Linked DNA regions of Rattus norvegicus. The protein of the gene in region 3 interacts with the protein of the main gene of each other region in a biochemical or structural test. Links are inferred from orthologs where the notes say so. Each region holds a gene or a part of one and is shown on either strand. Other genes may lie near its edges.

The links.
Region 1: the proteins of Clns1a (region 3) and Prmt5 form a complex in vitro, tested with the Homo sapiens proteins (5 studies listed by BioGRID and IntAct, with this or other methods). The link is inferred for Rattus norvegicus from reciprocal best matches to the Homo sapiens genes CLNS1A and PRMT5.
Region 2: the proteins of Clns1a (region 3) and Snrpd3 form a complex in vitro, tested with the Homo sapiens proteins (2 studies listed by BioGRID). The link is inferred for Rattus norvegicus from reciprocal best matches to the Homo sapiens genes CLNS1A and SNRPD3.

Annotation. Positions count from the first base shown.
Region 1 is NC_086033.1:31,935,261-31,944,776, reverse strand, and holds the end of Prmt5 (protein arginine N-methyltransferase 5), read left to right. Parts: intron 1-275; coding exon 276-439; intron 440-899; coding exon 900-1,061; intron 1,062-1,698; coding exon 1,699-1,776; intron 1,777-1,870; coding exon 1,871-1,929; intron 1,930-2,010; coding exon 2,011-2,133; intron 2,134-2,220; coding exon 2,221-2,396; intron 2,397-3,070; coding exon 3,071-3,180; intron 3,181-3,412; coding exon 3,413-3,506; intron 3,507-3,653; coding exon 3,654-3,770; intron 3,771-4,032; coding exon 4,033-4,097; intron 4,098-5,089; coding exon 5,090-5,242; 3' UTR 5,243-5,850; downstream 5,851-9,516. UniProt on the Homo sapiens protein: Arginine methyltransferase that can both catalyze the formation of omega-N monomethylarginine (MMA) and symmetrical dimethylarginine (sDMA), with a preference for the formation of MMA.
Region 2 is NC_086038.1:13,139,362-13,149,551, reverse strand, and holds the start of Snrpd3 (small nuclear ribonucleoprotein Sm D3), read left to right. Parts: upstream 1-4,631; 5' UTR 4,632-4,746; intron 4,747-6,024; 5' UTR 6,025-6,040; coding exon 6,041-6,166; intron 6,167-10,190. Other genes in the region: protein GUCD1, read right to left, coding at 3,763-4,018. UniProt on the Homo sapiens protein: Plays a role in pre-mRNA splicing as a core component of the spliceosomal U1, U2, U4 and U5 small nuclear ribonucleoproteins (snRNPs), the building blocks of the spliceosome.
Region 3 is NC_086019.1:161,441,738-161,451,310, reverse strand, and holds the end of Clns1a (methylosome subunit pICln), read right to left. Parts: exon of another isoform or gene 9,176-9,573; intron 8,160-9,175; coding exon 8,061-8,159; intron 7,280-8,060; coding exon 7,172-7,279; intron 5,885-7,171; coding exon 5,711-5,884; intron 3,913-5,710; coding exon 3,845-3,912; 3' UTR 3,824-3,844; exon of another isoform or gene 3,820-3,823; intron 1,042-3,819; 3' UTR 408-1,041; downstream 1-407. UniProt on the Homo sapiens protein: Involved in both the assembly of spliceosomal snRNPs and the methylation of Sm proteins.

The DNA.
Region 1 (9,516 bases), on a different chromosome or scaffold from region 3:
GAGACCCACTCTGAAAATACAACCAGGTGGCCATTCTGTTTTCATATACCTTTAATCCCTGAACATGGGACGCAGAGGAAGGTGGGTCTCTGTGACTTCTAGGCCATACAGACTACAGTAAGAATCTGTCTGAGAAAAGGAAAACAAAGTGAGTTCCATGTGTATCCTAGGTGTCTTGACTGCTTTCCCTGTGCTCAACAGAAGGAAGAAGAATTGCACCCAGTAGGGCAGGCTCCCTGCTCACCCACAGGTGATCTTTCTCTTCCTTTGTGTAGCTCTTGAAATCGGAGCTGACCTCCCGTCTAGTCACGTCATTGATCGTTGGCTTGGAGAGCCCATCAAAGCCGCCATTCTCCCCACCAGCATTTTCCTAACCAACAAGAAGGGGTTTCCTGTTCTTTCTAAGATGCAGCAGAGGCTGATCTTCCGGCTCCTCAAGGTGGGTGGCCCAGGCCTCTCCTGACTTACTCACTGGAGTGTGACTTTCACCCCGTGGGGGAGGGACAGGTGATTGCTTGCTTTCTGGTTCCTTCTCCAGAAACCAGAGAAGTCCTGGAGAAGGAACCAAACTTCTTCAGATGTAGTTGTCCTTCCTCATGCACTGGGGATTGTGTTACCCCAGGGACCTTTCCACTAAATTGTCCTGTGCTTAAACTGCTGGCAATGACCTGCCTGGCACCAGACTCTCAAGTTTGGTCCAGCCCAGGTCAGGATGAACTGAGTTCTCATTCTTACCTGGTCAGCATATGAGGACTTTATACATTTATGAAAGCCATACTTTTTTTTTGGTACTGAGACAGATGCTGGACAACTATTGGTATGGGTTTTATTTTATGTTGGGGGCTTTGGTTATAAACCATGTCTGAGAATCATGAACTGTGGGCTGACTCTCCTCACAGTTGGAAGTGCAATTTATCATCACGGGAACCAACCACCACTCAGAGAAGGAGTTCTGCTCCTACCTCCAGTACTTGGAATACTTAAGCCAAAATCGTCCCCCACCCAATGCTTACGAACTCTTTGCCAAAGGCTATGAAGACTATCTGCAGTCCCCACTTCAGGTAGGTTTGAAGAGCACTGAAGGTGGAGAAGGGACTGCAGGGATTATTCAGAGTTCAGAGCATGGGCTTCTCTTCCTGAGGACCTGAACTTGGTTCCCAGCACTCATCTGGTGACTCAGAGATGTAACTTCAGCTCCAGAAGACCAAGTGCTTTCAGTGCCTTCTCAGGCACTGCCTGCACATGGTGTGCACACATACATGCAAGCAGAATATCCATGCACATACATAGTTTTAGTTGAAAAAAAAAAAATCTTGGGACTGGAGAGATGGCTCAGAGGTTAAGAGCACTGACTGCTCTTCCAGAGGTCCTGAGTTCAAATCCCAGCAACTACATGGTGGCTCACAACCATCTGTAATGGGATCTAATGCCCTCTTGTGTGTCTGAAGACAGCTATAGTATACTCATAAAGATTTTATAAAATAAAATCTTCAATATCCATTCTTTATTTTAAAAAAAATAAATAATCTTCAAGAGATATAATAATAATTGTAATAATAGCAAGAGAGAGGGACAAGAAATATCTCTAAAGAGTAGGTAGTCCAGGTAGATCCTACCTAAACTCAGGAAGCAATGGGAGAGTTTTGATGTCTTGGCCATTTGCCAATACTGGCCAACTTCTTCCGTCTCATTTGTCAGCCTCTGATGGACAATCTGGAATCTCAGACGTACGAAGTGTTCGAAAAGGACCCCATCAAATACTCTCAGTACCAGCAGGTACAGTATTGGCTTCAGGAAGGCCAAGCACAGGCCAGGGAAAGGTTGGTAGAGATGGGGACACTTCTATGAGGTTTTCTGTCTCTCCCCTCAGGCCATCTATAAATGTTTGCTAGACCGAGTACCAGAAGAAGAAAAGGAGACCAATGTCCAGTGAGTCCTTCTTTTGTTCCCAGGTAGTTGTACGCTTGCTTCTCCCTCTGCTTGGTCTGCTTGACTCTTCCCTTTTCTTAGGGTACTTATGGTGCTGGGTGCAGGCCGAGGTCCTCTAGTGAATGCGTCTCTCCGGGCAGCCAAGCAGGCTGAGCGGCGGATTAGGCTGTATGCCGTGGAGAAGAACCCCAATGCTGTGGTGACGTGAGTAGCAGCCTGCTTGCTGGGCAGCTGGTCCTGGGTCCCAGTTTCCAGCTGAAGTCTTCCTTACTCGGTCACCCCTGATTTCAGGCTAGAGAACTGGCAGTTTGAAGAATGGGGGAGTCAGGTGACAGTTGTCTCGTCAGACATGCGGGAATGGGTGGCTCCGGAGAAGGCAGACATCATTGTCAGTGAACTTCTGGGCTCCTTTGCCGACAATGAGCTGTCACCTGAGTGTCTGGATGGAGCACAGCACTTCCTGAAAGGTTTGTCCAGGTTGGGGGGATCATATGGCTGCGAACTGCTGCTTGCAGGGTAAAATGATTTACACAGGAGTGGACTAGAGATTCCATAAGGCTTGTGGGCTCTGACCATGGCTTTGGAGCATTTATCTGAAATGAGGCCCAGAGTGTGATCTCTACGTGGGTAGAAAAAGTATCTTGGACTTAATGTTCGTTTGTTTATGGGGTTACCAGCATCTACATGGTGGGTTAGAGTGCAGTCAGACCTACCCTGGTGATATTCAGCAGTGGGCTGTGTGTGTATGATGTGATCCCACAGAATTGTGTCAGCCTGGACCTCAGTCATCTTAGTTTGTGTAAGGACTGTCATTTTCTCTCTAATAGTCCAGAATTTGTTCTGTGCTAAGTAGTGCATAGCTCTGTTTTTGGGGTGTTTTTTTTTTGGAGCTGAGGACCGAACCCAGGGCCTTGTAGGCAAGCGCTCTACCACTGAGCTAAACCCCCAACCCCTTGGGGTGTTTTTTTACCTTTACTTACGGCTCTAACATCCTAAGAGTAGAATTCCGATGATCCAACATCCTGTCCTCCAGCCGTGTTCCTAGCAGCCTTGGCTTGTTCTGTTGTTTGAGCCTTCAGCTGGTGCAAAAAATGCCCTCTCCCCTCCCTTTGGGAACTGATTTGACCCTGTTGTCCTGCAGATGATGGTGTAAGCATCCCCGGAGAATACACCTCCTTCCTGGCTCCCATTTCTTCCTCGAAGTTGTACAACGAGGTCCGCGCCTGTCGGGAGAAGGACCGTGACCCTGAGGTAAAGAGCTGCTTTTCTAGGAGGAGGGACTATCCTTCAGTCTGCTCTCCTGTCTTCCTCTGAAGCCAGTGAAGAGGTGAGAGGAGCTGGGATTGAAGAACGAGGGTGAAGTAAAACGATGTTTTCGTTCTTTGATGCTGGAACTCCAGCTTTCTCTGGGAAGTGGTGCCTCCTGTCTGTCTGTCTGTCTGTCTTCTGTCTCCTGAAGTTGTTGCTTTCTCACCCTGGCCAGGCACAGTTTGAGATGCCTTATGTGGTTCGGCTGCACAACTTCCACCAGCTTTCTGCTCCTCAGCCCTGTTTTACCTTCAGCCATCCCAACCGAGGTAGGTTCATGCATGGCTGTTCTGACTGAGGGGGTGCGAGCTTCCCAAGTCTAGGTCTCAGGTCCTGCAGTCCTAGAGCCTATTCAGGTTTGCCAAGTCATTGAGGGGTTTTGGCCCCTTGTCATCCATCCATGTCCTTCCTGACAGATCCTATGATTGACAACAACCGCTACTGTACCTTGGAGTTTCCTGTGGAGGTGAACACGGTGCTTCATGGCTTTGCAGGCTACTTTGAAACTGTGCTTTACCGGGACATCACTCTGAGTGAGTGTCTGGGAGCTCATTAGAGCACTGGTGATTTCAGTTCTTGGGGGCTGCTTCACAGTGTTCTCTCCTCCATGGAGATTGCTAGCTGAACACTAGCTGAGGTTACTGTCAGCCCGGCACAGTAATTTCATGGGGAGTCCAGAGTCCAGGAATAGAGGTCTCTGATTCTTAGGATTTTTTATGACCACAGAAGAGACTTCTCAAGGTAAGGAAGAGGGACAGTGGTGACCTCAAGTCTTTCATTACTTTGTCTCCACAGGTATCCGCCCAGAGACCCACTCTCCTGGCATGTTCTCATGGTTCCCCATCTTCTTCCCCATCAAGGTAGGAGTCCCCTCTAAGATGGTTGGTTGAGGGATAACAGTGGTGTTCTGCTCCTGTCCCTCAGCTAGTTGGCTGTGACCCACATTCTGTTCTGTCACTTGCTCTGTGGTCTTGGTTGGGGTTACCCAAGTAAGCTCCCTGGACTCCCCACATCTCCAACCACTCTTGTCCAGTCTTTACCTGGAAGAGGGTTGACTTTTTACCACTTAATTTGAATTGGCCTTTCTGTCTAAGCCCCTCAGTGCCTTCCCACTGCCCTCAGGTGAGACCCTGGAACCATGTTGTAAGAGTTGGCTTGGTGGCTTTTTCTGCCTCCCAGGAGATGTCTCTAGCTTTTAGTCCCCTCTGTTTTGCCTGTGAGGTTCTTTGCTCATGCCTTCACCCTGCCAACTGACCAGGTTTCCTGGGATATCTGCAATCAGGCCATTTTCCTGACCTCCTAGAATAGGCTGTCTTCCTCCTAAGTGCTTTCGCGGCTCCCTGTACATGCTCATAGCACTCACTGTGTCCTTGCTCACTGTCCATATTTTGACAGAGTAGGGACGTCTTTTTTTTTTTTTTTAAAGATTTTATTTATTTCATGTATGTGAGCACACTGTAGCTGTCTTCAGACACACCAGAAGAGGGCATCAGATCCCACTGGATCCCAGATGGTTGTAAGCCACCATGTGGTTGCTGGGAATTGAACTCAGGACCTCTGGAAGAGCAGTCAGTGCTCTTAACCGCTGAGCCATCTCTCCAGCCCCGAGTAGGGACGTCTTATGAGGGTCAGAATATTTTACTATATTTGTCTTTGGTTTTGAGAAAGGGTTTGGGATTATATTCAAGCTGGCTTTGAATTCCTGACCCTCCTGCCTAGCCTCCTGAGTTTGAGGGTTATAGGTTTGTACCCCACACTTGGCTGTTGATTATCTAATCCCCGTCTATCCTCCCAACATTGTCAAGTATAGTTCCTCAGCTCAACCCCAGCCTCTGTGTCTTTCCTATTACAGCAGCCCATCACGGTGCATGAAGGCCAGAACATCTGTGTGCGTTTCTGGCGATGCAGCAATTCTAAGAAGGTGTGGTACGAGTGGGCGGTGACAGCGCCAGTCTGTTCTTCTATTCACAACCCTACTGGTCGCTCCTATACCATTGGCCTCTAGCCCTGCACACAGCGTCAGAGCCTTGGAAGCAGCTCTGAGTTCTCTTCCTGTAGCACAGAAGGTGCAGAACATCTACTGGTTCAGTTCATCTGTGAGACCCTCACCTGCCAGCGAGGAACGATTCAGTCTGCTTTTCTACCTATGTCATGGTGGCCAGGGGGTAGGCATTCCAGGACTGCCAAGCATGGTGGTGCATACTTTTTATCCCAGCACTCCAGAGGCAGAGGCAGGTGAATTTCTTTAAGTTCAAGGCTAGCCTGGTCTACCCAGCAAGTTTCAGGCCACCTAGGGGCTACATAGTGAGATCCTGTCTCCAAAAAAGAAAAAAAAAAAAAAAGAATTGCAGGACACAAGCCAGCAGCAGTTTTCAGAAGCCTCTGTCGAGGGCACGAGGACTCAGTAGCACTGGAGGAAGTGGCATCGGCGGGCGCTCACCCTCCAGAGCTTCCCAGGGGTCAGGAGAAAAGGCAGAGGCTTGTGGGAGAGCCCCAGGAGTGTGCATGAACACTTGCGGCCTTCCCCTGGCCTTACTCTGTTGTTGTTTGGATGCTTTGTGTCAGAAGGAAACACAAATAAAGAGAAGTTACGGCCTCTGCTGCTCTCCCCTGCTGCCGCCTGCCTGTTTCCTACACTTCACTTCAATCCCAGCACACCGAGGTCTGTGCTCTTGCCTTGCCTAAGACCCAAGGAGGTCAGAAGCTGGGGATGTTCAGTAGTAGAGCACGAAGTACTCAGTGGTGACCTGTGAGGTTCCCACTTGTGCTCATGTTGTGTTCCGTCCCCGTGTGTCAAGCCCTCCAGCCTCACCCGCCCCCGCCCCGGGACCTCTGGGCGTATGCTTTTCTCATGTGGTCCATTAGGTTCATTTGTCTATTTCTCTAGGAAAGAGACACCTTGGAGATATGAGAAGAGCTTCTAGCTTCTCCCTTCCTTAGATGGATTGCCAGTAAAATCACAGAGTAATTGTCCATTTTGCAGAAGAAAATTTGAAGTTGGTACAGTGAAATGTTGCACCTATCCTAACATCTCTGACAGCAGCAACTTTTTGGGGTAGTGCAGGGATTGGGCAGCTCAAGGGTCCAGGAGCTTTGGGAAACCTAAGGAAGTGAGGGTTGGCACCATCAGTTCTTTTTAGAACAGAATACCCAAGTACCCATGTCAGCTGAGAAGTTATCTCGGTTTACGTTTGCAATAGGGGACCATGTGGGGTCTGATGTGAACAGCAGTGTTGCAGAGGAGTCTGGCAGTACTCAAGTCCCAAGGAGTGAGGTCAAGAGGGCGGTCTGGGGGCTGGGGATTTAGCTCAGTGGTAGAGCGCTTACCTAGGAAGCACAAGGCCCTGGGTTCGGTCCCCAGCTCCGGAAAAAAAGAACCAAAAAAAAAAAAAAAAAAAGAGGGCGGTCTGGAGGGTGGGTGGCTGCCTACTCAGGATGGAGGTATGGGGTTCTACAAAACCCTCGAGTCAGTAGGTATGGCCAAAGTTGTCCTCCGTGGGCTCTGCCCATCAGGTGCTTATGGGCATCTATAACTGGAAAGAACAAGTGAGTCTTTTCTCCATCTTTGCTTTCCTTCTGTAAGTCACTTAACTAGGGAGTTAGTGGTAAGCATCTCCCAAGGGTGCCTTTGCTTGAGTCCTGGAGAGGTTAGCTCATCTCCTGGGGTTAACTAAGACATTTGAGTTTGGCTCCTATGTAGGGCTGTAGCCAGTTCTTGAACCTTTGTTCTGACGGATCTCACAAGTGCATGGCATGGTCTGGAAAGAGGAGTCCAGCTGCCATGGTACTCTGTTGAGCATACAGGAAATAGTGGAGCTTCAGGCCCCCACAAACCTGAAGGAACAGAGCAAACCTTTGGGACTGGAGTTGGTGAGAAACCTTGCCCACTGCCACTGTCTGCGTAGTATACTGACAGTATATACCTAGGGACTCATGTGGTCCCAGTCCTGCGGTCACACTGGTATAAAGGAATTGGGATGCTCCCTCAATTCTCAGTCACTGGAAAGTTTATGTTTATTATGTTCTTATGTTAGTTTCTCTGGGTGTTTTTGTGTTTTGCTTCCCTGGGTTTTTAACTTTAACCACACATTCCATTCCTGAGCCCACATAAGAGAGAAGCACTGGGACAGGCTTTGTAGAGCTGGTGCCAACCAGCAAGTTAATTTTTTTTTTTTTTTCGGAGCTGGGGACCGAACCCAGGGCCTTGCGCTTGCTAGGCAAGCGCTCTACCACTGAGCCAAATCCCCCAACCCCGCAAGTTAATTTTAAAATTTAGTTTAAGTTAATTTTTGTTACTGAGACAGGGTCTACATAGCCCTGGTTGGCCTGGGACTTGAGATCTACCTGCTTCTGCATCTTGAGTTCTGAGATTAAATGTTTGGGTCACTTAAGTTTGGCAACCGTGGACTATGTTTTAAGAGAGTAGCCTTGGCTCATTACACAACATTCCGGTCTCTAAGTCAGTATTTCCACTTCTTCACTACATTGCCTTGGAGGTGCTTTGCCCAGGTCAGTGACTTCACCCAGGAAATGGTGCTGCCATTGTCCCTCAGACTCCCAACATTTGTTCAATTCTCTCCAAAGTGGTTGATTGCCTTTTAAACCTTCCTCTGCCCCTTTGGCCATGCTGTGACCGTGGGTGGCTGGTGTGACTTTTGAAGCAAGGATGGAAGCCGAGCTTGTGGATGGGATTTACTGTCCCTTGGAGGTCTTGAGTGGATTATCAGTGAAGAGTACGAGCTGCTGGTTTTTCAGAGGACGGCGTTCACAGCCTTCCATAATTCCTGTCTCAGGGGATCTGTTGCCCTCTTCTGAGGTCCATCGGCAGCAGACACACACGCTGCACAGATGTGTAGCCAAAACACACATACTCCATAATTAAGGGATCTTGACTCATAAGTTAGGGCACTGAGAGAGAGATCCTGACAACTATAACCTCAAAATGAATAATATTTAGAACGTCACTGTTTTTAGGACTTGTAAAACAACCTAACCCAGTGAGATTGTCAGACCAGGTAGGGTGAGGCTGAGGGAGGAGGATCAGTTGAGTCCTGGAGTTCAGGGATACAATGCTTTCTGCCACTGATAACCACGTTCAGCATCAATGTGGTGACTTCCTGGGAGTGAAAGACCACAAGAATTGCCTAAGGAGAGACAAAGTGACCCATGTCAGAAATGGAGTGAGTCGGTGTTGGTTTGAACGAGAATGGTCTCAACGGGATCATATATTTGAATACTTGGCCCCCAGTTGCTGGAACTGCTTGAAAAGGATTAGTAGGTGTGGCTTCATTGGAGGAGAGGTATTATTGGGCGTGAGCTTTGAGGTTTCAAAAGCCCATGCCATTCCCATCCAGCTCTCTGTCTCCAACTTGTGGATCAGAAAGTAAGCTCTCAGCTATTGCTCTAGCCCCATGCCTGCCTTCCTGCTCCTCTACTATGCTCCCCACCTTGACAGTCATGGACTAACCCTCTGAAACCCTAAGCCTCAATAAACTCTTTTATTAGTTGCACTTTCATGGTGTTTTGGCATGCAATCGAAAAGTAAGACATTCACACTTTACTTTCTGATTAGTAGTGGGGTTGTGGGTTGTGCCTGTAAATAGCTACTATACCCCAGCCTGGACAAAGGAAGACACTATCTCCTCAGAACAAAGACAAAACCAAAACCCAACCAACCGATCCCCAAACAAAACAAAACAAAACACCCCCAAAACAAAACAACAACAAAAAACTACGAGTTTGTTTTTCAAAAGAGGGTTTTCGTATGTAGCCCTGACTGTTCAAGAACTCACTATATAGACCAGGCTGGTCTTGAACTCAGAAATCTGCCTGCCTCTGCCTCTCAAGTGCTGGGATTAAAGCCACACACCACCATTTTCAGCAGGTCAATTTATTAAAATTAGCAGTAAAGGAGTTCCTACTCATTGGAACATCATAGCATATTTATAATAACTATTAACATAATCTGGGATCACTTAGGTATATATTATCCATGGTTAAAAGAAATGTCATGGGGTTGGGGATTTAGTTCAGTGGTAGAGCGCTTGCCTAGCAAGCACAAGGCCCTGGGTTCGGTCCCCAGCTCCCCCCCCCCCAAAAAAAAATGTCATGTGGTGCATGACTATATTGGGTCTACGCTTAAATTGCTCTGAATAGAAACTTCACATACACAGTTTATTTGTATAGAATTATCAACTTCAATGAAAGATTTTTTTTTTTGGTTGGGAGAGTGGCTTCCAGATCCTTATGTATACTATAAGCACACTGAAATACACCCCT
Region 2 (10,190 bases), on a different chromosome or scaffold from region 3:
CCAGAGAGCTGAGTCTTGAGTCTTAACCTTTTGCTCTCCTGTATCTTCAGGGACTAGCTGAAAGGTCACTATTTGTAGGGCTTTCTCTGACCCCAGGCTGGTCATTCCCCATCCCTCTTGTGTAATCCTTTAAACCAGAGTTAGGCCTAAGGTTGTAGAATGTAGATCTTATCTAGTCTTTGCTCCAGGAACCTCTAAGCCTAAGTCTTTCAAAGGCCCCTCGGCCTTTTAACAGTTTGTAGATTAGATCTTCCCAAATCCTGTACCTGCACACAGCAGGGAGAGGAATTTCGGCTCTGGTTTCAAAGCCTTAAGAGTCCTTGGGATGGGCAGATGACTCAGTGGATAAAGAGCTCAAGCAAGATGACCCAGGTTCAGAGACCCAGAACCCACACCAGCCTGTAACCCCAGCAAGCAGATGGACACAGAAGTTTCAGCGAGCTGGCTAGGCAGACTAAGAGAAACAGCAAACTCAAAGATGAGTAACAGATTCTGCCTTCAGGAAGACACCTGAAGTCAGCCTTCCAGATGCATGCATACACACACACATACATACACACAGATACATGAGAACACACGCATGCACGACCCCTACCCTACACTTACCCTTACCCTCACCGTTACCCTTAAACTTGCCCTTATCCCTGACACTACCATTACCCCACCACTATCCCAACAAAATCCAAACTCCAAACCCTTTCTCCAACATCCTCTTCTGCCTTCTGAGAGCAGAGAGCACACATGAGGTACACAGACAGACCCACAAGCAATAAAACAAAACAAACAACAACATCAACAACAACAACAAAAACCAAAAAGCCTCATGGACATAAAATAAAAACAAATCTTTAGGGAAGTAATTGCCCAGCTGTGAGGTTTCTGAGTTTGGGTCTTATTCAAAGACAGGAAACACTAACCTAGGCTCTGCCTCAGTTTCCTTTCTAGTTGCAGTGATGACAGACCCTGACAAACATAACTTAGGGGAAAAGGGGCTTATATTAGTTCACAATTCCAGGGTGCACCCATCACTTTTGGGAAGTCACAGTGGTTGGGTCAGCCAGTCAGATCATATCCAAAATCAGGAACCGACAACAAAGAGTATACACGTGTCTGTCTTTCCCCCTTTTATCAGTCTGGGGCCCAACCCACTTTTGGGGTGTGTCTTCCCAGCACAATTAACCCATTAAGAAAATCACTCACAGGCAGAGCTAGACAATTCCTTACTAAGACTCCTTTCCCACAAGATTATAGATTCTATCGGGTTAGCGATTAAAACTAAATGGCATTCTGGAGATCGCTCAGCAGCTGAAAAGTACTCTTTTGCAAAGGACCAAGCGCCCACGGTGGCTTATAGCCAGCTGTCTGTTAAGCTCCCATTCGGGGGATTCTGACATTCTTTTTCAGCTTCTGAAGGCACCTGTATGCAGACAAAATACTCAAGACACATAGAATTTTATAAAGTAAACAGCCATAGGGCTCCTTTTATCTCTCTCATACTCTGCTGTGAGAGGACACATCATTTCTCCCTTTCCTCTCTTCCTCCCACGTGGGCCTATCTAGAGAGAGTCTACCAGGGATGGATGGATCTTGTACTGAACTTGCCGGCATCTTGATCGTACAATTCTCATAAATCCCTATTGCTTATAAATTTTCCAGTTGTAAGACACCAGGGAACATACTCATCTTGTTTGTTTGCTGTCTCCCTGCCTAGTGTCTGATGCTTAGTGCTCTCTCACTATCACACTTATACATGATGTACACAAGGGGATGTAGCACTTGTCCAGCACTGACCAGGACCTAGGTTCAATCCCCAGTGCTACAAATTAAAAAAAAAAAAAATGGAAAAAAAAAGTTGCACTTACTGAGGTGACGTAAACTTGGTCTCCAGGGACTATTATGCTAAAACAGTTCTCTCGGTAGCTACAGGAAAACTCTCTGCAGGGTGTGGCACTATCAAGATGGGTGTCTTCACTTTTCAGAACCCTTACTGAGGCTGTAAAGGGCTCTGAGCTACTCAGGCTGATTGCTACCCAGGTTTTGTTTTTATGCCACCATTGGTCTGGAATGTTGCTTTCTCATCTCTGACTTCCAAAGCCTCTGTTCTACAACAACACCCCCCTCCCGTCATTCTCTCTGCCCTTCAGCATGCTCATAGAGAGAGTATCGGCCTTCTCCCTGGTCAGCCTGAGAATTCTGTCATGGGCATGTAGGATTAGGGCTGAATTTGCCTCCTCCAGTCCTCACCCATAGCTGACACTCATTTATGCCGTTGAGAAGGTTTGGGGTTGATTTTGGTTTTTTAAAGCTCTACCCTTTGAAATACCTACTTGTTGCTATAAGTGCCCATTAGTTCTAGGCCTCCAGATCACACCCTCTAACGGAGGCTGCCTTCTTACTTGATGGCCTGAGCTCTGCCTCTAATTATTTGGGACACGCCCTCTAAAATGTGGCATAGGACAGACGCTCCTCAGGGTCCTAAGAGACTCAGGTGTCTCTCCCCTTTCCCTCAGCCTTAGAACCACTAGATCCCAAGGCCTCACAAGGCAAACATTCCTTAACTATCCTGATCTTAGCACAGGGAGGATGCTTTCTGAGGCTAGGTGATAAGGGTAGAAGCAGCCTTGGTATTTGTCCTGATAACAGCATCAGAGCCCAAAACTGCTTCAGATCTTGAAGCTTTAAGCCAAGACAGTCCTCCACCTGAGCTAGGATCTGCTTTGGAGAAAGCCTTGGGCTGGCTTCAGCTGTCTGGTTGTCACGAGAGAAAAAAGGCAGTCAACTCTTCCCGCTATTTTAACCCTCTCAGCCTGTCTGCTCACCTCAACGGGTACAGAAAACAGCAGTAGCCTACTTGACTGGGATTTAGAAACATGAATTCTGTGCTATCTATAAACACTTTAATGCTGCGTCTACCTCTTAGCACCCTACACAAGTGAGCCATTATCTGCCGAGGCTAAGAAAGGGCAATGATCTAGTCAAAGTTCACAGCCGCAGCTAACTGGAGAAGTAAATAAGTAAATTCCAGCACAGGACCAAGCCCAGCTCCAGGTTACAACCAGAAGGAACCACTCCCTGAACGTGATGCCCCTCTCCAATTAAGAGTTTGGGTCCCACACCCCTTGACCCCTACCCACGAGATAGCGCCTCGCCTGTAACAGTTTATTAATGTCAACTCTTGTGCCCTAACCAGAGCTCCACCAGAACTTCCTGCTGTCCCCACTTCGTGAGTAAGCAAAGGGGCTCGGGTTTCCTCAGGGCAGAAGGAACCAGTAGTAAGCAAATAACCAAAACAGTAGCAAGACAAAAGCGCTGGGTTTGGGAAGCCAGAGAAAAAGACCTTCCCTTTGCTAGATGCTCCCAAGCCATTTTTTCCCCTCTTTCCCGCCCCTTTGTTGAGTGCTCTCAGGCCCCTCTTTCCCCCCCTTCCCGGCCTCAGGCTTTCCACAGCTCCCCGGGAAACAGGATCACCCAACGTGCTTCAAGCAGGGCTATTCGTTTCTGAGCAAGGTTGTGCCTTTTTGCCCCTTGGACTTTTCCACTTGACCACTCTCAGAACTCCCTGGGCTTCAAACCCCGGGAGACTCAGAACAACCATAAGTTGAGGATAAGAGATGAGAAGGAATATCCACCTAGCTAGGACCCACTAGAGGCTCCAGGCTGGGCTGAGGCCGCAGACGACCCAAGGTCGCACGCTGCCAGACCCTGCTCGGCTCCAGGGCGGAGTCCCCCCCCCCCTCGGTTCCCCCTTAGAGAGGCACTGACCCGGCTCGAGCGGCTGCCCCGCTGCCTCTACCTCCGTTCTCATGACCCGGGTGGCGCAGGGCGCCCATGGCCCCGGCCTGGAGCTGATTGCCGCTGCGATTTCTGCTGGGCGGAGAGCTCGGCCAGTGAGCGTAGAGTTCCTCCGCCGCCGTCGCCGCGGCCACCGCGGTTCAGACCCGGGTAGGCGGTGGCGAGGCCGCCTCAAGCCACGCCTAATCCCTTCCAGGTCTGGGCGCTGGAAACCCGCCCCTTCCATAAGCCACACCTCTTCCCTTCTACCCACTTCTCTTCCAGACTGCGCTCCCGGCCGGTCCTTCCCTTAAACGCTCCGGCGGCCCCGCCCTTCCTTAGCCCCGCCCCTGCCCGAGCCCCCGCCCCCAGAGCCTTTCCCGGGGCGACGTTGGCTCCCCACAAACAACCTAGCACTCTCCCGCCACTAGGTCTGCTCTTTTGCAGCCTCAGTTGTAGGCTCTGGTCCTTCGCAATGCCTCGTCGAGACTCCAAAGAATCCTTTTCCTACTCCCTTTAGGTCTTCTTACTTTGACCTTGAATAAAGATAGTTCCCAGGGCTCGGTGTGTCCCTTACCTGACGGTGACCGGATCCAAAGTTTAAATTTCTAATCCAAGCCTCACTTCCTGTCTACCCAGAGCATTGGGCGCAAGCCCAGATCCTGCCCAATCCGTCACTACAGCACTCTGTAAGCGTGGGTCCCCATGTTCCTTTGTGGGCTCGAGGATTGATGTTTCCGGCGGTCCTCGGGCCCTCCACAGTGCCGGAACTATAGTGCTAGAGGCCTGGGTTCCCCAGCCGGCTAAGTGAGAGTAAAGGGTAAGTAGGCCTAAAGGAAAGGGAGGGGCCTGCGCAAGGCATTCTGGGAGCGCGTGGTGTGAGTGATACTCGGGCCCGTCGTTTCCTCGCCTCAAGCCTTCGCCTTCTAACGTTTGTGCCGGGACCGAAAAAAAAAAAAAGCCTGCAGTTAGTTGGTGAGGAGAGGCGGCTAACGGGAGAGGGGAGGCCAGGGCTCTCCAGAGGCTTAGGAGCTGAAAGGGACGCGGAGGAGGAGCTCAGCGGGGCTTAGCGGAGGGCGGGAAGCCAGGGCCTATCCAAATATCATCTCACTAATCCTAGGAACAGTTATTTATTTACGCCTAGCCAGCACGTTCTGTGCCTTTCCAGGTCACCGATTTTCGAAGCTTACAGGCAGTCCTTTCTTGCTAGTTATCTCCTTGCCTTCCGGATCTTCGTTTTCAACGTCCTTTTCATCCCTGCGCCACTCCCATTCCTGTACTGGCCTCCCCTCCTGCTTTGCACGCTGCTGCAGACGTTTCAGCAGATTGCTCTGCTATATGTTTAATCCACTTTGTAGATGCTACTAGTTTTTTTTTAAGCCCTTGCCTATAATCCTGTAGTGTTTCCCTACCATTTTCAGCACTCTCCTAAAGTTGAAAGCCGTGGTTCCTCACCATGTTTAGCATCCTTATAGTCTTCTCATGAAAATGGGCCGTGTGCTCCGTCTAGTGTCGTTTCCCGTCTCAGAAATGTAAAAGCCCTGCGCATAGTCTTTGTTTTTTTAATGAGACTTAAGTCGAGCGTTTACCCTATTTCCCTGAATGATGAGCATTTCCTGTTTATAGCATGTTGCCGTGACGCTTTTGGTCTGCTTTTTGGTGGGGAGTCAAAAAGCTAAATTGTAAAGCACAACCTGTTTTCCTGGATTTCTCTGGGTTTAGGTCTCTTTGTACTATCAGGTACTGTAGCTTTTATCCAAATGCGGTTGCTGAGTGATTGGAATATGACTAGTGTGGCTGAGGGACAGATTTTTTTTGTTTTCATTTGCATTTTGTTTACGTGTAAACAGTTATTTGGTCGGGGTCCATATCATAGTTGTTTAAATGATTATAAAGAGAGGGACATATGACTGGGTGAGAAGGGAGGTACTCGGGGTTGGGGATTTAGCTCAGTGGTAGAGCGCTTGCCTAGGAAGCGCAAGGCCCTGGGTTCGGTCCCCAGCTCCAAAAAAAAGAACCAAAAAAAAAAGAAAAAAGAAGGGAGGTACTCTGATCCCATTCATTGGCTTTCTTTGTCCAGTTTACCATCCTTCCCTACCCTACATGTTGGGCTAACTTGCCGTCGTGGGTCCTTCAAACCAAGAGCCAGACTCCTTCCACAGAAAATGCAGCCGTGACAGAATCTGCAGAGCCTGTGGAATGCCAGTCCTTAGGCTCCGAAAGGTAACCATTGTCTCTCTCACTGCCCCATAGGAAGAGTCCTGCCAAGATGTCTATCGGTGTGCCAATTAAAGTCCTGCACGAAGCGGAAGGCCACATAGTGACATGTGAGACCAACACTGGTGAAGTGTATCGGGGGAAGCTCATTGAGGCAGAGGACAACATGAACTGCCAGGTATCCTGCTTTGCACCCGGGGCTGTGAAAGAACGGTGGCTTCTATCCTGGGGGATAAAAAGGTCTTAATGAAGTTATTCTTACCAGACAGTTACTACCTGTCAGGCACTCTGACAGGCTGTGAGATCATATGTCAATGTAGACTTAGTCTTGAGACAGGAAAGTCATTTGACAGCCTGATGTGGTAGTCCATGAATGTCCCAGCAGTTGGGAGGCTGGGGTAGATTCGAGGGTTCTAGGCCAGTGTGGGCTTTACAACAAGACCACACTGCTTTTGGTGGGGAGTCAAAAGGCCGAGTTAAAAGCCCCGCCTCTCTTCTTAGTTTTCTCTGGGGTTGGGTCTATGTGTGCTTTCAGGTAGCCTTTATCCAAATGCAGTTGCCGAGTACCTGTCCGTAAAACAACCAGTTATGTTAACTTGTTCTGTCTGTCTCGGCTCCTAGAGTAGGTCAGGTTCGGAACCGGAGTCCGCTTCCCAGCACAGTTTATAGTTTGCAGAATTTTCTGCTCACATATGTGTGTGTTTACTTTTGTCTTGGAGAAAGTTCATCTGATAAAACTACCAGAGTTTTGATAAATGGTTTTGGATTTTTTTTCTCCCATTAATTAAGAACTTGAGCTTTGGAATCAGAGAATTCTCTGATTTCAAATTGAGTTGGGCCACAATTATAGGACCTGGGGTACCTTGGCCATTCGTTCTCTCCTCTATAAAATGAGAATGGAGTTGTTTTGGATCCTCTGTGCTGTAAATGCCAACCCAGAATTAAATCCACAAAAGACTTGTTGGGGAAATGGCAGAAGGATGTCAGTGACCGAGCGGGATAGCACATGTGATTGGTTACTTTTCTTGTTGCTGTGATCAAATTCCTGACCAAAGCAACTTACGGAAGGAGGAATTTATTTTGACTCACAGTGTGATGACACAGTCTGTTGCAGAGGATGGTGTGATGGCAAGAGCTTGAGGAGGCTAATAGTCGCATTGAATGTGCAATCAGGAAGCAGAGATTAGTGCCTGCGCTTAGCCCAGTTTCTACTTTTGACCTCCACCTAATCTAGATAATCCCTCACAGACGTGCCTGTCCCTTCCTTCAGTAATTCTAAATCCATTAAGTCGATAATAGTAATGATGGTAGCAGGAGAGTCTTCAATCCAGAGAAAGGAAGGCAGATTGAGCAGAAGGAGCCTCAGACTGCAGCATGATGCTGAGCAAGTTTCCCCAAGTAAGAGGAGTGACTGGAGGCAGAAGTGGACTGGCTCTCATGTTTCCTCTGTGCTCAGTCCCTGGCAGCCTGTGTGCATGGCTAACGCAGAGTGAGTGCCAGGGCAGATCCAGAGCAGCAGCTGGAGGATGTCGGCTGCACACTCTTCCCTGCCTATTGTCTCTGGAGGATGAACGTAACATCCCTAGACTGCTCCAGGTCTAGAGATGTTGGAGAAGAGACGTGTGTGTGGGCAGCAGCCAGCTCAGTGCTCTGCTGTTGGAGTGAATCTGTAACATCTTATAAGAATATATTCTTAGTGAGAAAATGAGGTTGGAAAGGTGCAGTGCTTGTTTAGGGCGCATCTGTAGTAAGAGAACCTGCCTGTTGCCTTTTAGGGTTTGTGTTAGTTATCAGGGTCTCTATTCCTGCACAAACATCATGACCGAGAAGCAAGTTGGGGAGGAAAGGGTTTATTCAGCTGACACTCCCACATTGCTGTTCATCACCAAAGGAAGTTGGGACTGGAACTCAAGCAGGTCAGGAAGCAGGAGCTGATGCAGAGGCCATGGAGGGATGTTACTTACTGGCTTGCTCCCCCTGACTTGCTCAGCTTGCTCTCTTATAGAACCCAGGACCACCAGCCCAGGGATGGCACCACCCACAAAGGGCTGGGTCCTCCCACCCTTGATCACTAATTGAGAAAATGCCTTACAGCTGGGTCTCATGGAGGCATTTCCTCAAGGGAGGCTCCTTTCTCTGTGATAACTCCAGTTTGTGTACAGGAGGACGAATCTGCTTTGTAAGAAGGCTGGTGACAGCAGCAGGAAACGGAGAGCTTACATTTTCAGTAGACAGCACGAAGCATAGAGAGCAAACAGGAAGTGTCAGGGTCCTCAAAGTCTGCCCCCAGTGACATCCTTCAGCAAGGCTTCATCCCCCAGAGCCCCCCAAAACATCACCAACTCGGGGGCCAAGCATTCAAATGCCTGCAATTATGGAGGCCACTTTTCATTTAAACTACACACTTGTGCTGGTTAGGTTTTTGTCAATTTGACACAAGCTAGGGTTGTCTTAGAAAAAGGAACCTCAATTATGAAAATGCCTCTATCAGATTATCCTCTAGGTAAGTCTGGGACATTTTTTTGATTAGTGGTTGATGTGGGAAGACCCAGCCCATTACAGGCTATGGGGGGGAGGTGCGATTAAGAACGGTAGGTGAGGACCAAGCATGGTGATAAAACCAACACCTGTAATCCCAGTACTTGGGGAGCAGAGGCAGGACAACCAGGACCATAAAGGAGGTTGTCTACAAAACAAAACAAAACGGGCATGGTGGTGCACACAGATCTCTGAGTTCAAGGTCAGCCTGCCCTACAAAGCAAATTCTCTCAGCCAGCCAGGACTGTTACACAGAGAAACAAAAAAGTGTGTGTTGAGCATGAGCCTGGAGGGCAAGTCTGGAAGCAGCATTCTTCTGTAGTCTCTGCTTCAGTTCTTGCCAACTTGGATCCTGCCTTGGCTTCCCTTAATGATGGACGGCGATCACAATGTGTATGCCAGATAAACTCTTCTACCCCCCGCCCCCAGGTACTTTTGGCTGAGGGGATGTTTATTAGAGCAACGCAAAGCAAACTAAAACAAGATTTAGTTTAGAGTTGGTGGTGCGTGCCCACACCTCTCCTTCCCCTCTGCTGGGAATGGAGCCCGGTGCCTCAGGCGAGATGGTTAAGCTCTCGCACTGAACTGTGCCATTTGCCATTGTGGGGTTGCTTTTGAGATGAGATCTCTATAGATCCCAAGCTGGTCTTTAACACTTGATCTTCCTGCTGCCTCAGTGTCAATTCTGTAATTTCTGGCAAGTGCCATCCCACTTGGCCTTGAGGCTTCTTCAAGTCCTGTACTACTTGGTTTCCTTCCAAAGGAAGGTCCTGAGAGGTGTAGCTGACTTAGTGCTGTCAAGACCTGTAGTGGTCTGCCTTTGTGAGGGTCCGCTTTCATGGGTCCTGCCCTCTCATTTTACCCTCTGCTCCCTTCAGAATCAGTGATAAACTAACCAGCGAATGCTCATTTTGATTTACTTATGGAGTCTGAATACTTGTATCTCTTTGGGACTGATGGCTCCTGCAGGTTCCCCTGCTGTCTCCTTTCCAGCCCCCAGCCCTTAAGAAATACCTTCCAAATACCTTCCCTGGGTAACATTTTCTTATAAACTTGGGGCAAAGCCAAGCCTGGGAGTTCACATAGTTCCAGCACTTGGGGAAACTGAGGCAGAAGAATCATCACCACAAAATTCAAGGGAAGCCCGGACTTTTTAACACCTTGTCTCAAATAAATAAATAAATAAATAAATAGCCCAGAACAGAATATTAACACATCACAAAGATTTGGGAACATGAGAGGATTCCATTACAGCCGCTTCTTTTCCTGTGTGTATTGACACAGACTTCTTTACCTATGTGGCCCTTATTGTATAAGAAATGGCTTAGAAAAATTATAGTTTGTTCAGTGCTGGGAGTAGAATCTGACAAGTACTCTCTACTCAGCTGTGCCCTCTCCCTTATGTGGTAGTTTCACGGGAGGGAATGGGCTGTGGTGCCACTGAGCTTGATTAGAAAGGCAGGCAGCTCGTACTTGACTGAAAGCTGAGTTCCTATGCATCTAATAAAGGTTCCTTCAGGTATGAAGCCAGTCAGAAGGAAATCATTATGAGATACAAATTTCTCTGGCATTCAGATACCCAAGATCCTATTAAGTGATGTTCTTAGGTGCTCGAGAGACAGCTCAAGTTGGAAGCTCTGGCTTCTCATTAAAAAGACCTAGAT
Region 3 (9,573 bases):
GTGTAGCTGAGTGCTCAGGGAAACCAGAATAGTTTGTCAGATTGCCGGGAGCCAGCAGTATAGTGCTGTGAGCACCCAATACAGAAGCAAAGGAACTGAACTGAGGTCCTCTATAAGAGAAGTAAGTGCTGGGCTGGAGAGCTGGCTCAGCAGTTAGGAATACTGGCTGTTCTTGCAGAGGACCTAAGGTCAGTTCCCAGCACCCTTGTGGCAGGTCATAAACATCGGGAACTCAGTTCCAATGGTTCCAACACCCTCTTCACCTCCATGGGCACCAGGAACACTCACGATGTACACAGGCAAAACACACACACATGACATAGACACACAGGCAAAACACACATACACATAATATTTACAAATCATCTTTTCTCAATGATTTTAGTCAAGAGCAAAACCACAGTGATATAGAAAACCCAGATTTATTTAACTATTACAAAGACAAAATATCATTGAGAGTACTTTGCAGACTTCATTTCAGATGATTTACTCTGTGACAGTCAAGGACCTAAGCTAGGAGAATGTAACAGAGCTGATGGTAAATGCGGAGGAACAGAAGTAGCACACAAGCATTTGTCATGACGAGATGTGGTTGAGCCCCAGTAGAGGGCCCATGCGTCCGTGGAGAATGCTAAAGGCTGTGCCCTCAGAGGCCTTTGCTTTTTATCTCAGGGATCAGAGAGTCCTCCTAAGTCCCAGAGACATCTAAGCTCCCCACCTCACTTTTGCCCAGCGTGAGCACTGTGCACACGACACACAGGCCTCGTAGCTGACAGATTGCACACAGCAAAGGCAGGAATTAGAGGCCCTCTCAGAAGATAACTAGACACAGGAAGCTTAGGGGTAAATGAGAAACTACAAAAACCCGTTCAGTTAATTCACCTTTGTTAATAGAGGTCAGAGTCTTTTCTGCTGGTGACAGCTTGCTGTCTCATTATAGTTTGTCTTGAGAAATGAGTTTTGGAGAAGAAAAAAGCCTTTCACCAGCTCCATTCTGGAGTGAAGAGGCATCAAGTTCTTGCCTATAGTTATGAGCAGAATCTGAAAGACAAAGGGCTCACAGTTATTATTACTAATAGCCATTATTTAGTGAAGCCTTGTAGGATTCCAAACTATTGTTGTATCTCAGGCCTTGTAATATCCCTGATTAGTAACTATGCTTCCATTGTAGAGATGAGGAAACTGAGAACCTGTTATGCAGGCCACCTGCAGAGGAGCAGAGACAGCATGTGAGCACATACGTGGTGGAGCTGTGAGGCTATGATACGTGTGCACCTTTCTGTACCCTATTTCACGCTCCATCCCGAGGTTTGGAATTAGTAATGGTTACACGAACACTCTACTTCTTCTTTAGGCTTTCAAAGTACATACAATTTTTTTTTAAGATTTTATTTATTCTATGTATATGAGTACACTGTAGCTGTGTTCAGACACACCAGAAGAGGGCATCAGATCTCATTACAGATAGATGTGAGCAACCATGTGGTTGCTAGGAATTGAACTCAGGACCTTTGGAAGAGCGGTCGGTGCTCTCAATCACTGTACCATCTCTCCAGCCCACATACAATCTTAAATGATCAAAAATTACACTGTTTGGAAATCAGATCAACTAACAAATGAACACAAAATAGATTGGACCAGAAAAGCAATTCTTCCCATCACAAAATAGTCAAAACCACTAAACAAAGAAAGAATAATATTAAAAGCAGTAAGGGAAAAAGGTCAAGAGACATATAAAGGCAGACCTATCAGAATCACACCAGACTTCTCACCAGAGACTATGAAAGCAGAAGATCCTGGGCAGATGTCATACAGACCTAAGACAACACAAATGCCAGCCCAAGTTACCATATCCAGCAAAACTCTCAATTAACATAGATGGAGAAAACAAGATATTCCATGACAAAGCCAAATTTATACAATTTTTCCACAAATCAAGCCCTACAAAGGATAATGGATGGGAAACTCCAACACAAGGAGGGGAACTCCCTAGAAAAAACAAAGTAATCTTTCAACTAACCCAAAAGAGAGCCACACAAACACAATTCCATGTCTAACAACAAAAATAATAGGCAGTCTGACAGTTCCTCAGAAAATTAGACATTGCACTACCTGAGGACCAGCTATACCACTCCTGGGCATATACCCAAAAGATGCTCCAACATATAACAAGGACACAACATGCTCTACTATGTTCATAGAAATCTTATTTATAGTAGCCAAAAGCTGGAAAGAATCCACATGTTCTTCAGCAAAGGAATGGATACAGAAAATGTGGTACATCTACACAATGGAGTACTACTCAGCTATTAAAAACAATGGCTTTATGAAATTTTAGGCAAATGGATAGAACTACAAAATATCATCCTGAGTGAGGTAACCCAGTAAACAAAAGCACACACATAGTATGTACTCACTGATAAGTAGATATTAGCCCAAAAGCTTGGAATACCCATGATACAATCCACAGTCCACATGAAGCTTAAGAAGAAGGACAACCAAAATGTGGATGCTTCAGACCTTCTTAAAAAGGGGAACAAAAATACTCACAGGAGAAAATATGGAGACAAAGTGTAGAGCAGAGACTGAAGGAAAGGTCATTCAGAGACTGCCCCACCGAGGGGATCCATTCCATATACAGACACCAAACCCAGACAATATTGCAGATGCCAAGAAGTGCATGCTGACAGGAGCCTGATATAGCTGCCTCCTGAGAGGCTCTGCTAGAGCCTAACAAATACAGAGGTGAGTGCTTGCAGCCAATCATTGGACTGAGAATGGGGTCCCCAATGGAGGAATGAGAGAAAGGACTGAAGGAGCTGAAGGGGTTTGCACCAACAATTTCAACCAACCAGACCCCTCAGAGCTCCCAGAGACTAAACCATCATCCCAAGAGTACACAGGGATGAACCTATGGCTCCATCCACATATGTAGCAAAGGATAGCCTTGTCATTAATGGAAGAAGCCTTTGGTCCTGTCAAAGGTCAATGCCCCAGCATAGGGGAATGTCAGGGCGTGGGGGGGAATGGGTGGGTGGATAAGAGAGTTACCCTCATAGAAGCAGGGGGAGGGGAGGATGAGATATTGGGTTTCTGGAGGGAAAACAGGGAAAGGGGATAACATTTAAATGTAAATTTAAAAAAATCCACTAAGAGAAAAAAGAAGAAAAACTTCCCATCCAGGCTACTAACAACTTATAATGCTAGCCACTGCCCCTTCCCTTCAAAGGCAGTTAGCTGTCACTAACGTGATGATGAGTAAGGGAGGTCAGGCCTGGAGTCGGTGGTGGGTTATCAATGTCTGGGACTGTGAGAGCGGAAAACTAACCGGCACCAGGAAAGCTCGCAGTGATGTGAGCAGAGAGTCTGCTGCCTACAGACTACACAAAAGCAGCAATAATGCAGGGAAGGAAAACATTTATGGGAAGAGATATAAACCACACAGCCACAGAATTTCTCTAAGGCTATTTTTTTGATAGCCGCATTAGAAGAAAACATGCATCGTTACCATGCATCGTTAGTTCTATAACTGCAGTAATTTAGAAACACTGAACTTAAAATATATATATTTATCTTATGTGTGTGTATTTTGCCAGCATGTATGTGTACCATGTGCATGTAGTGCCTGTGGAGGCCAGAAGAGGGCGTCATATCTTTCTGGAACTGAACTTAAAAGATGTTTGTAGGGCAAAACCCAAGTAATTTCCAGTAACCAGAGATGGATAACATTTTTTAAAACTGCTACCTTCCTAGAACTCTTTAAGCCCATTGTCGTTTCAGGGATCCTCATGCAGTAACGAGAGAGAATCAGCTACTCACTCACTGTAAGTCACACGAGTCATCCTCAGTGGTCAACGTCTGCATCCTCGAACTGTCCGGCAACAGTTGGTGTGGTCTCTACCTCCATGCCATCTGTACATAAAGACACTCTCTCAGACACTTGACTCAGCAAGGCCTGGCATGGTGGTCCCCTGTTGCAGTCCCAGCCCTTGGGAGGCAGTCAGATAGAACTCTGTGAGTTTAAGGCCAGTCTAGTCTGTGTAGTACTTCTAAGCTACACGTGAGACCCAATCTAAAAAATACAATAAAAACAATAACTGCATTTTAAAAATTTGGGCATTTTGTTGTTTTTGAAATAGGGTCTCATGCAGTTCAGGCTATCCTCCGCTCCTGACCTCAGGCCCATGGCTAGGACTGCAGGTGGACCACCACTTCAGGCTATCTAACACCTCCAATTCCACTCTTTCTATTTTGAAAACAAAGTTATCTGAGCCACCTGTGGATTTAAGTCAAATTAAAAATCAATCTAAACAGCTAACTTTGTAAATCCACAATATCAACACACATACACATACAAACCCACAAATCCTAGGCAGGAGTCAATTTATGCCTTTTCTTCCAAAAAAATTTGGAATGTTTAGCTATGTAGCCTAGACAAGCTCAAAGTCACTGCGTCCTGTGGGCTCACATCAGGCGCTAGGATCACAAGTTCATGCCACCAGGTCTGGCTGGCAGGGATTTTCAAATGCATTAATCAGAGCAGAAAAACAACAGCAGCAAACTTTATCTCCCCATTTCCATTATCTCACTAACATGGCATGGGATGAGGGCTAAAGGCATAGTCCAGCACTTAAGAATAAGAGCACTGTCGACTTTTCATAGGACCCAGGCTCGATTTGTAGCACCCACATGGCAGATTTCAACTGTCTACAATTTCAGTTCTAGGGCATCTGGCTTCCACAACCATGCAAAGGAGCACAGATATCCAGGCAGGCAAACACATATACACATAGAATACAGTTTTTAAAAAAAAATGTGAGGAGGGCAGAAAAAAAAAAAGTGCTCTGGAAAAAACCATCTGTAGTTGTTTACTTTCTCACTCTTGACTCTCTCCCAACTCTTCACCTGCCACATGTGAGTAAGGCATGCTGGGATACGATAATTACTTGAGTTTACTAGTCTGTGTCTAGCATGGGCAATACAGTAAGATACAATTCCTACCCCATCTCCCCATCCTTGCCACTATCCCAGAACTCCAAAACTCAGGTCAATATGCTGTATGCATGTGATACTGATCACAGCACCATGGGAGAAGTGAAAGGGGACCAGAGAAGACACACTAAAGCCACTTCAACAATGTCCTGTAGTCATTGAAAACAACAGTGTTACAATGTTCCTAGAGCATAAAATACTAATATATACTAAACACATAAAATGTAAGAGGTGCTGATGACAATGGCAGGCATATTACTTTTATATAATGGTTCACTGAAATAATCCTCTTATCAGCTGTTTGACCTCAAGCAATGCAACCCTTCTGAGCTTTAGCTGTCTAATGGATAAAATGTGGATCATAAACTTATCCTTAAACTTTTCATAAACTTTATTCTAAAAAGAATTAAATGTACACATATAAGGGGGGGTGACATACACCTTTAATCCCAGTAGTAGGAAGGCAGAGGCAGGTGGATCTCAGAGTTGAAGGCCAGACTGGTCTACTTCAAGAGTTTCAGGACAGCCAAAAGCTACTCAGAAAAACCCTGTCTCAAAAACAAAACAAAATAGACCCCCCCTCCCCAAAAAAGAGAAGTATATAGAGATGTGCTTTAAGTCTGGGTGTGGCACATAAGCAGTTCGAGATCAGAAAGCACAGGACTGCCACAGGACCGCCACATGACCACCACATGAGGTGAAGAGAAAGGGCACTCACCTTCGTAAGTTCTTACTGAATCTTCTGTTCGGACGCCTGCCATATTATACTGGCTGCTCACAGACTGAGAAAGCATTCCTTCTAATCTCTCCAGCGTGGCTTGCCCTTCTGCTGTTAAATGGGATAGTCCTTCTTCATAGGTGTAAAATGTAGGGATGTCCCCCTGTCCTTGCTCTAAACAAACAGAACACGATTTTATACAGCAGTGGGAAAAAAAGACAGTGGACAATAAATAATGCATTTGCTGGAGATGTACAGGCTTCCGGTATTTATTGATAGGGTCATTATTAAGAGTTCCAAAAAGAAAAGAAAAATATGTCCCTACCCATTAGAATTAGAAAACCAGAAGGAAAAGAGGGTGGTTTTTTTTTTTGGTTCTTTTTTTCGGAGCTGGGGACCGAACCCAGGGTCTTGCGCTTCCTAGGTAAGCGCTCTACCACTGAGCTAAATCCCCAGCCCCGAGGGTGTTTTTAAAATTGGTGAATCCTTTATTATTCTAAGGTGGGAATATTCCAAGGTGGGAATTTTATAAGTGAATAAATACAAAATTTGACTGAAAGAATTTTGAATTAACATATTTTTCCTTTTTTAAAAAACCAGAAAATCTAAAAGAATATAAAAGGGACAAAAACAGAAAATCACTTAAAAAAATCTCTAAGAAATGAGAACATATTTGTGTATGTGAAGAATAATTCCAGAAATGGGTAGTCTTAGGCTGGGAACTGGATTCCTGTGTAGGAAAGAACTGTAGATGCCCAGACTGGTGCCAAAGAGACCGTTTGTGCCTTAGGTTGCAACCTACCAGAGCAAGGGAGCACATTCTGGTCTGGAGGCAGTGGAAAATAGTTGTGGATAAATGAAGTATGGGTTTAGGGAAAAGGAAATTAAAGTGCGATATCAAGAGAACTCTAGAGAGACAACTCGGTGGTGTCAGAGCATTTGCTGTTCTTGCAGGGCCTGCAGTTTGGTTCCCAGCACCCAGCTAGCAGTTCACAACCATATAATTCAAACTCAGGGGGTTCCAAAACCCTTTTCTGGCCTCAGAGGGCACATATAGGAATCCAGGCAAAACACTCATACATGTAAGATAAGCAAATTAAACACAACTTTAAAGAGATATACATGAACAGATTTCTCAGTGGGGAGGGTAGGGACAGCCAGCTCAGACTGAGGTATGCTCTTGACCACCGACTTTCTAGCTGTCCTTGTCTTTCCCATTTGTTTCTATTATCCATTCCCCACCCCTAATATCTTATTGTTGTTTGAGCTTGGGAAAGCCATTCATTTCCCCAATTGTCTGCTGAAAGGGCCGAGACACCAAGTATGCTAATGGACCTTTATTTACAGCCATTTTACATGGGTTCCTTTATAGAAAAAAAAAAAAAAAACCTAAAAATTGTATGCCCTTAGCACATGCTTAAAATGAAACAGTAACGCCAACCTGAGACCCAAGTCACTGACCATGTGCTTCCACATCATACTCTTCTCCATCATAGTCATCCGAGTCTTCATCCTCAGGGTCTGGATGCAGGGCCTGGCACTCACACATTGCTGTGAACATCGCCTCCACTGAAGGACAGGAAACTGTAACTAATACTTTTTCCAGTGCACCACAGAGTTTTAGAATAAATATAACCACTGCTACAAACCAATTTAAAAGCAGACAAAAGGTTTACTAGGCTAACTATATTTATAAAATCTATAAAATTCAAATGAAAATTGACCATGGAAAATGCTTGAAGACAATGAATAAGTCACAAAGTAAGGATTCAAGACATTATAATATCTCTTCATTGGTGGCTGGATTTAAGAAAAAAAGGCCAACCCAGGTGTTGTGGGTCAGGCCTCTGATCTCAGAACTCATAAGGTAGAAGCAAACAGACTTCTTTGAGTTTAAGGCCTGGTCTACATAGTTCCAGGACAGCTGGGACTATATAGAGAGACCCTGTTGAAAAGAGGAAAGAGAAAGGGAAAAGAAAGAGTAAAGAAAAAAGGTCAGAGATGTTGGTCACACTGCTAATTAGGAAAAAGCCTCTGTCACATGACATACTTTCCAAAAATCTCCACATTTTCAACTTTGGAAGTGTTTCCAGCCGTTGACATTGAGTCAACAGAGTCAATCAGACTGACCAGAGTCCTCCTTGCACAAAGTGCACCAGATACCATGCTAGTCACAGTATTCTTACTGTATCCACAACCTGGGACAGTAATAAGTACCTGCTCAATGACTTTAAGGAGACTAAACAGGATAAAGCAACAGAACGGAGGTAACGGTAATGAAGGGGAGAGGTGTGTGCTTACCAATGGGAGAGGGGACATATGGAGAAAAGATCAGTATCACAACACTCACATGCTGACTTATCACTGGGCACAAATCTAAACTCAGAAATGGGTTCAACATCATCATTGTCGTCCTCATCTTCATCAGAGAAAGGTTCTTTTGATTCTTCTATAAAAGAAATAAAAGTAACCTTTTTAGACATTAAGAGTTAGTTTTTCTTAAGACTTTACTTATGTGTGCCAGTATAAGCTTTATGTACAGAATGCATACAGGAGCCAGAAGAGGACATTGAGTCCCCTGGAGCTAGAGTTAGAGGCACTGTGAGTCACCTGACATGGGTCCTGGAAACCTAACTCTGTCTTCTGAAAGAGCAGCAGGAGCTCATAACTGCTGGTTTGTCTCTCCAGTCTCAAGGAATAAAAACTTAAAATATTTATTTCACATTTTAAAGACACTGAAGCTAGATCCTGGTAGTATGTGCCTGAAATACTTGTACTTGAAAAGGAGAAGCAAATATATACACAAAAAATTTAATGAACAAGCTAGGAAATTGACTAGTATATCTAAATATTGCAATTCAGTGTTTACTGATGGTTATGCAGAGAAGTGAGACGATTTCAGATAAATGTGTAATAGTTTGTAGATAAAGAATGCTCAAGGAGACTAGGGGTGGGAGTAATAGCTTAGAGGCAGTCACTCTGTACAGGAAGTCCCGGGTTCACATTTTTACACTGGAAGACTGAATATATAAATGTATCAACACAGAGACACTTAAAAAAGGAACTAGATGAAAAAGCTAGTTGCAAACTATATGGTATCACTTACATTAAAAATTTAAACATAAAACCATTACATCGGTTGGAGACATATACATATTCAGTAAGGGTTAAAAGCATATATATATATAAGGGCTACAGAATTGACTCCGTGGTTAGAGCACTTGTTACTCTCACAGAGAACCTAGGTTCAATTCCTGACACGCATACAGTGACTCATAATTGTAACTCGGAGCCAGGATCTAACCCCTTCTTTCTGACCTTGGCAGGCACCAGGCATACATGTGATATGGCAAATACATACATACATAATAGTAAAGCATATACAGGAAGGCAGACACTACCTTTACAATATTGCTTAATTTGAGTCAGAGAGAAGAGGATAAAATGGGGACCCACACAAAACACTTTCTTTTTTCTCTCCAGTTTTGGACTTTATTGTTATTGTTGTCGTCTCAGGCCTTGACTGCGCACTTGCGCAGTGGGTACAGCCGCTCCTTCCGCTGCTGCTCCTTGGTCTTTAGCTTCTCTTCATGCTTGGTGAGCCGGCGGCGCATGGCTCTCGTCTTCTGGGGTCGCAGGTCTATGGGCTTGTACTTCTTTTCCTTGTAGAATTTCCTGAGGTTTTCCTTTTGAGTCTGATTAATGACAGTGAAGACACAGGCGATGGATTTGAGTACAACTCGTATCTTGGAGAGCGTGGACGAGGCGCTGCCTGTCACTTTGGCCACGAGAAGCTGGGACGGTTCCACCTTCAGATCATCCGGTTGTTTCAACAGCTCCTCCTCCTTCTTGCCGCGCAGGCA